Linked DNA regions of Ovis aries. The protein of the gene in region 1 purifies or fractionates together with the protein of each later gene. This does not show direct contact. Links are inferred from orthologs where the notes say so. Each region holds a gene or a part of one and is shown in the gene's direction. Other genes may lie near its edges. The genes, in order: RABGGTB and RAP2C.

Region 1 (3,106 bases):
GCAGCTACACTGCTGCCCTGAAGAACATTGTTGCCACAGACAATAAAAAATGAATGGGTGTGGTTGTATTCCATTGAAATTACTAATGGACAAGTATGAGTTTCATAATCGTTTTCCTTTCACAATACTGTTTTTAAAAATCATTTACAAATACTAAAAGCTGTTCTTCGGTTTAGGCCCTTGAGCTAAAATATGATAAAGCATAGTGATGCTTTTATTCTGGGTCATTGTATTTTTGTGTAATTTTGCTTGCTTGTTACTTCTGAATAAGTTTAAAAACCATAAGTGGTACTTAGTTAAAATCCATGGAAAAATCTGGGCAACTTTTCAATAATTAGGAAATGGGTGAGGGTGGGGATAGCACGTACGATCTAGGACAGCTTTTAATGTTCTTGTGGATCATCCTGGGATCTAGTTGAAATTCAGTGTAAGGTGTGGGGTCTTCTGCATTTAAGTTATGATTTGATGAGCAAGGGTGATTTTATTTTTTAAACCAAGTTGTATACCTTCCTGGACAGCACTGAAAATGCTGCCCATGGCAGTGGAACGTATGTTGCCATAGTTGTAAGCCTTACTACCAGTTTCTTGGAAAAGGGACTGATGTAGGCATTCATTTCATATAGAAATTAAGGTGGGTGGATGGTTATCAGTGAATACTGAAACGAACATTTAGCATGGTTTTCTGTGGAATCAAGAATCTGCCTGCAGTGTAGGCAGCACAGGATACATGGTTCAATCCCTGGCTCAGGACGATCCCCTAGAGAAGAACATGGCAATCCACTCCAGTATTCTTTGCCTGAAAATTTCCATGGACAGAGGAGCCTGGTGGGCTACAGTTCGTGGGGTTGCAGAGTGAGACATGACTGAGCATGCCTGCATACTCATATTCTAGTTCTGTGGAATGAAGCATTTGATCTCTTTTCCAATGATTATCTTTTAATTCTAAGCAATTTTTGGATTTCAGTGTTTCAAACACTGCATTGTCAATATATCCCTTGATTCCCCTCCCACCCCAGGTATTTAGAAAATACGTTTGTGGCAACTTGTGGCTTTTTCCTCCTAGTTACCAGATGTATGCTATTCATGGTGGGTGTTGGCTTCCCTAAAGATAATTGGAAGGCTTCATTGGATTGATAGAGAAAAGCTCCGCAGTTTCATCCTAGCATGTCAAGATGAAGAAACAGGAGGATTTGCAGATAGGCCAGGAGATATGGCAAGTATACTTAGGACTGTTAATGTAACAGTTAAAATTTTCAGCGTTGTTCTAAGATTCTAAGGGTTCTAAATTTTTAAAACTAGGAATTGGTGGGGAACAAATAGTATTTTTCAAGTGTTGCTTTGAAAGGATGCTTTTAAAATGTCATTTAAAAGTGTACTAAGGTGCTTTTCTGGTGGCTCAGATGGTAAAGAATCTGCCTGCAATGCCTAAGACCCACGTTCAATCACAGTATTCTTGCCTGGAGAATTCCATGGACAAGAGCCTGGCAGGCTACAGTCCATGGGGTCGTAGATTCAAACGTGACTGAGTGATTAACACACAAAAAAGAGTGTATGAAAGATCTGAAACACATTTACAGTACTTATGCCTAAGAAATGAGTGTGTGTGCCAAGTCCTCTGTTTAAAAAGTGCAGTTTGAAACCATTATTTCAGAAAATTTTAAGAGAATATTTATATAGAGTGCAATGGGCTCCAGTATAATCCCTGTTCAAAAGCAGGGTTTTAGAAGTTTTCATTTTGTAATATTCTATAAATTCTTGTTTTTTAATAGGTAGATCCTTTCCATACTCTGTTTGGAATTGCTGGATTGTCACTTTTGGGAGAAGAACAGATTAAACCTGTTAGCCCTGTTTTTTGCATGCCTGAAGAAGTACTTCGGAGAGTGAATGTTCAGCCTGAACTAGTGAGCTAGATTAGATCCCTTGATGGAGAAGTTGGTTAATATAGTTTTTATTGTGTTTTAACATTTCAGTAGTTGAAGTGCTTAAAAACTTAACAAACTACCGTGTTAATATTTTGTACATGAATTGTGTTAATTTTAATAAATTATAATTATACATATTGTAAATTAAGATCTTTATTGTATCTCTCCTTCTGGAATGCTGTTGTTACTCTGATTTTTTTGTTTATGCTTCAGTATATTTTCTTGTATGTCTTCATAACAGCAAACTTGAACTCTCTTTAGCTGATGATTCTGATTTTCCTGGGTACTCCCTTGATATGTTATATATAACTATAGTTAATGTAGATTGGTCTTTGTCAGTGAGAATGTTACTGATAAAGAGTTGATGAACCACATAGGAATTAAAAGATGAAATAAAAATAAATGGCTGAAATTTGGGAATATTTCATGCTTGTGGTTAATGAGTTGGGTACAGAGTGGGTTAGGTAAATGAAGAGAATTCACTAAGATGAGGATTGCAATCTGGACTAACACTTTAGTCACTTTTTAATATTTTATGTCAGAATGCCAAGGGATTGTTGGCATTTTTTTCCTACCCAGTAAGGAAATACAAGCTGATACTTGACACACTAATCCTTGTGTTCTTGCAGAAAAAGTATTTTAGTGAGCATTTTTCTTGATGAAGTTGAAATTTGCTGAAGCAAGTTTGCAATAATAACCCTAAGAGTAAAGAATTTTACATGTGAATAGTGATGATTTCTTTTAACACATTGAGCAATGTCTGCTTTTCATGTTATTGAAGTGTCTGGCATTGTTTTTGACAGTTCACTAAGTTTGGGTTGAATTACCAGTGTTTCTGAAAGTTTGGGAGCCATTGAATGGCACACAATTTTATATAAGTGGTATCATTGGAAGTTTTGAGTACTGCGGTCACTGCACGTGGGTGACTGAGTGGTTTCATATTCTGTATCTGATTTCACAATTGAATGAATTCGGTAATGGACTGAATTCATCTAATGGTATCGAGTATTTTCTCAATCCTGCTTTCTCTACCATGTTGAATTACTGTGTCTATTCAAGAGAATCATGGCATCTGGTCCCATCACATCATGGCAAATAGATAGGGAAACAGTAAGAGACTTATTTTTGGGGCTCCAAAAATCACTGCAGATGGTGACTGCAGCCATGAAATTAAAAGACACTTC
Region 2 (4,365 bases), on another chromosome or scaffold:
GCCTAATAAAAGTAAACTGGTGAACAACTGGAGTCTAATGAGATAATGTATGTGAAAATACTTTTCTAAGTATAGAGATGTTTGGAGAGGACAGGAGGAGCAGGAGGAGGCAGTTTAAATGGGGCAGGCCTGTCCACTGATCCCTAGACAGTTAGGATATTGGGTTTGGTTTGGTTTTGAGGAAAGGATGATCGACAAATTTTTTTCTCCCTTCAAATATTATGAAATTATATTTATTCCTTTTTTTCCCCAAGAATACCTTATTACTGTCTTAAAATTAAAATGACACACGGACATGAAAATCCTTTCACAATATCCTTCACTAGTAATTAATGACTTTCAGGTTTTAATGGCTATATAACTATATGTTGCACCACTCCCACATATTTTACACAAATGGGGGCAACTACATATTTGTCCCTGGTGGCTCAGTGGTAAAGAATCTGCCTGCAATGCAGAAAGCAAAGGAGACGCAGGTTCAATCCCTGGGTTGGGAAGATCCCCTGGAGGAGGGCATGACAACCCACTCCAGGATTCTTGCCTGGAGAATCCCATGGACAGAGGAGCCTGCTGGGCTACAAGTCCATAGAGTCTAAAAGAGTCAGACACAACAGAAGCAACTGAGCACACATGTATTTGTTCAGTATCTTGCTTTTCCTTCATCCTTACAATATATCTTGGCCATCTTTTCATATCAGCATTTACAAATATACCTTTCTCTTTTTAATAGCTGCACAGTATCCTATTTTTGAGTGTATACACACATTATTTTTTAAATCATCTATTGAAGGATGTTTAAGTTACTTCCAATTGTTTACTTTCCTAAACACTGTAATAAATACCCTTCCTAAGAAAGTTTAGAAGGATCTTCGGGCTATGTGACATCTGTCAACTCTGTAGTCGATGACAGTGACCCAAACAGACTCTGCACCGAAGGGAGAGGTATGTTTCATTGAGTAGAGAAACAAACAATTCTCTACAAAATACTGTAGCCAACAAGTTCAGAGATAGTAGAGTTGTCAACAGGTGAAGCCACCTTAGCAAGAGGGGCACCCTGTTTTGACAGTTTAGTAACAGCAGAGACTTGAGGCAATTACTCAGCACTGATTGTGAGATCAGAAGAGGAATTTCCCTGTCACAAGCAGGGCTGGGGCAGGGCTGTGGGTCCCCCAGACTGTCTGGAAACAGACAAGGATGGGCAGCAGAGCTCCAAATCAGGCAACAGCACGTGTGAAAAAAAAAGCAGTGACTTGTGAGGAAACTCATAATTCACAGACCAAATCTCTTCCAGCAGAGGGCAGTGCCTCAGATATCAGGCGGGACTCGGGCCAGCTGGAGCCAGAGCTGGAGACTTCGCGGGACAGATTACACCAGCTCTAGGCTGAGAAGAAACTGAACTGTCCTTTGGATACTGTAAGTGACACTGGGGAATACTGGAGAGACACATCAGGACTTCTCACTAATTTGCTTGTTTTCTAATATCTAACAATTGGGGCTTGGTATTATACAGTTGGGCCCTTAGGGCTTGCAAGGGGGATTTGAGGTCATTTTTAACTCCACTGGCTACTTACTCTTTCAGCTTTCTGTGTGCATGCCCGAGTCAAAAAGGGAGTGACATGCATAAAATATAACCTAGGCTTCTGACCCCGGGGCTCTGTGGATGTGACACAAAGTTTACAAATAGAAAGCAGAGGGAAAGATATGTAAGAAGTAACAATTTTATCTAAAAATAGAAACTTTGTGTGTTTAACCTTAGAGTCCTTTGAATTTCAAAGATTATGAAGCATGGTCATTAAAACAAAGTTTAACTTGGGAGAGCCAAGTTAAATTGCTGTGCCTTACAAGACAATGAAAAGAGTTAGTCTGCTGGCCTAAACAATTGCCAATCCACGCTTCCTCGCTGCGTAGCGGTTGGAATCAAAAAAGAGGCAAAACTGAGTTAGAGTACCTTAATAAAGTCTACTTCTAATCCTGCTGTTTTTCGAGCCTGGTGATAAAAAGGAAAGGAGCGACTCTGGCATTTGCTGGTGGAGACAAGGCAGATTTGCCAGGTGATAAAGTACCCTGTGTTGTGTGTGTGTTCAATTATTTGTCAGCACGGCTAAAGAAAACACACCACAGAGGAAATCAGAACCATTAGTGAAGTCGAAGGCTAGTTTGCACGCGTTCCTTCGAAAAATACCAAGTGGAAGGAAGACCAGCAAAGAGAATCCACTTTCTCGGCTGTTTTATTTTCTCTGCCGCTTCTAGTCCGGGGATGTTTGGCTTGTGCTCCGGGTCATCAGATCCGCCCCAGGCCGATCGAGTCTTCAGGCCGGACTGGGGGCCCTCTGAGACGCGGAGAGGCTTCCGCGAGGTCGGGGTGGGACTATCCACATCAGCAGCAGCAGAAACAGCAGCTGCGGGCGGCCGAGCGGAAAAAGGAGACTCCGGAGGTCCCGAGAGAGGCCCTTTGCCAAGGCCGTAGCCCAGACCCGAAACCGTCCCCGCTGTCTCGCCCAGCAGGGCGCGGCCCCAGCGCCACCCGGCTCGCCCCGGAGAGGTGGGACTTTCCCCACCGGAAGTGATCCTGTCCAGTCTCGGGGAACTGGGGCACCTCAACCAGTGTGTCAGGGAAACCCTTCCGGGTGTGTGCTGGGGGGGGGGGGGGGGGGGGGTGAGAAAAAAAAAGAGGTGGGTTCGCTTGGAGTCCCAGCGGCCGCCGCCGCCGCCGCCGCCGGACGGCCCCCGCCCCTTTCCCCTCTGCGAGCGGTAGCGCAGGGGAGGCGGTGAGACCGAGGAACCAGCCTCTCGCCATGGCCTTGGCGTGACAGAGTTTCCCGGGCGGCCGGGCGGGTGCGGACGGCAGGGTAAGCGGCGGCGGTGGCGGCCGGGTCCGGGTGGGAGCCGCAGGAGGCGGCCGGCCGGGCTGCCGGGCTGGGGCGGGGGTCAGGCTGGTAACGCGCGCCCTCTCCCCCCGCTTCACAGGCCGGACGACACCCGCGGCAGCCGCGGCCCAGAGACCCGCCCGGGCGACAGCGACTGGAGCGGAGCCCACAGGCCCGGGCCGGCTCGGCGGCGCGAGCAGGAAGCGGGGTCCCTGGGCCCCTTTGTGTGAAGGGCGAAGGAGGGGTGCGGGGCAGCCCCCGACCGCGGGCTCCTTGGACGCCTGTCTTCCCGCGGGGGTCCCCGTCGGTCCTGCGGCGTCCCCCCCTCCACTTCCCTTCGGGGGGCGCGTCTCGCCTCCCCCCGCCCTCCTCCGGGCTGCTCAGGGCTCGCCCTTTCCCCACGCCCCCTGCCTGGGCTTCAGTTCCTATAGGAAGGGCATTACCATCCCATCCCCACCCACCCCGACACTTCGCTCTTTCCCCTCCCCCTCCTTTAACTTCCTCTTCTTCCCCCGTCCGGCCCTCGGCTCCTCTGCACTCTCCTCCCGGGTTCGCAGATTTCCGCCCACCTTCCGCCTCTCCGAGCAGCGCCGCAGCGAGCGGGGTGTTATTTTTCCCTCCCTTTGGTAGGAGTTGGTGAAGGTGAGACTCAATGAGGGAATACAAGGTAGTGGTGTTAGGGAGCGGAGGGGTTGGCAAATCCGCCCTGACTGTGCAGTTTGTCACTGGGACTTTCATTGAGAAATATGACCCCACCATTGAAGATTTCTACCGCAAAGAGATCGAAGTGGACTCTTCCCCCTCCGTGCTGGAAATTCTGGACACCGCAGGAACTGAGCAGTTTGCTTCCATGAGAGATCTCTACATCAAAAACGGCCAAGGTTTCATCCTGGTTTACAGTCTGGTTAATCAACAGTCTTTTCAGGTAACCAAACCAAGTCTTATAATTTGTAAGAAGGGGGTGTGGTAATCCAACATTTACTTCTGGTTTGCTTGCACCGTGCGTAAATGACTGTTTTGCTTTTGAAAGTTAGACATGGCGCATTTTTGAGGTTACTCCTGGCACGGAAAAGTACCCAGTTGTTTCTGTAGAGAGGACTAAAGTCGCAACCGTCAACAAATGTTTTAAAGTTATTTTTAAGTGAAAGAGAAGTGAAAAAAGAAATGTCAGCTTGTGTATGTTTAGCCTGGACTATAGCCTTCTGAAGTTGCTTGTTCAACTCCACAAGCCTTCGTTAAGGTACTCAAGCAAACAACATTTAAAAGATAATCTCAGGCAAATAGAGCACTTTGTAAGGAAAATTATTTGGAGACGATTATCTGTTCCACAGATAAATTCCTCTGCGTCTGCTTCGCCCTCCCCCTTTTTGTTCTCACCCAAGTCTCTCAACCAGATTTCTAAATCTTAGGGCTACAAGATGATGAACTCAAGACCTGCCTTCTAGGTACTCTACTTACTTGGAGCGTGTGAAGGGAAGTTAGTAATTGAAAAGACTAG

Evidence for each region.
Region 2: the proteins of RABGGTB (region 1) and RAP2C purify together in Homo sapiens (co-immunoprecipitation; 3 studies listed by BioGRID and IntAct, counting the BioPlex papers as one, with this or other methods). This does not show direct contact. The link is inferred for Ovis aries from reciprocal best matches to the Homo sapiens genes RABGGTB and RAP2C.

Annotation. Positions count from the first base shown.
Region 1 is NC_056054.1:52,028,699-52,031,804, forward strand, and holds the end of RABGGTB (geranylgeranyl transferase type-2 subunit beta), read left to right. Parts: intron 1-1,063; coding exon 1,064-1,217; intron 1,218-1,769; coding exon of another isoform or gene 1,770-1,773; coding exon 1,774-1,910; 3' UTR 1,911-2,344; downstream 2,345-3,106. UniProt on the Homo sapiens protein: Catalyzes the transfer of a geranylgeranyl moiety from geranylgeranyl diphosphate to both cysteines of Rab proteins with the C-terminal sequence -XXCC, -XCXC and -CCXX, such as RAB1A, RAB3A, RAB5A and RAB7A.
Region 2 is NC_056080.1:102,670,309-102,674,673, forward strand, and holds the start of RAP2C (ras-related protein Rap-2c), read left to right. Parts: upstream 1-1,340; 5' UTR 1,341-2,627; intron 2,628-2,744; exon of another isoform or gene 2,745-2,849; intron 2,850-2,967; 5' UTR 2,968-3,519; coding exon 3,520-3,792; intron 3,793-4,365. UniProt on the Homo sapiens protein: Small GTP-binding protein which cycles between a GDP-bound inactive and a GTP-bound active form. May play a role in cytoskeletal rearrangements and regulate cell spreading through activation of the effector TNIK.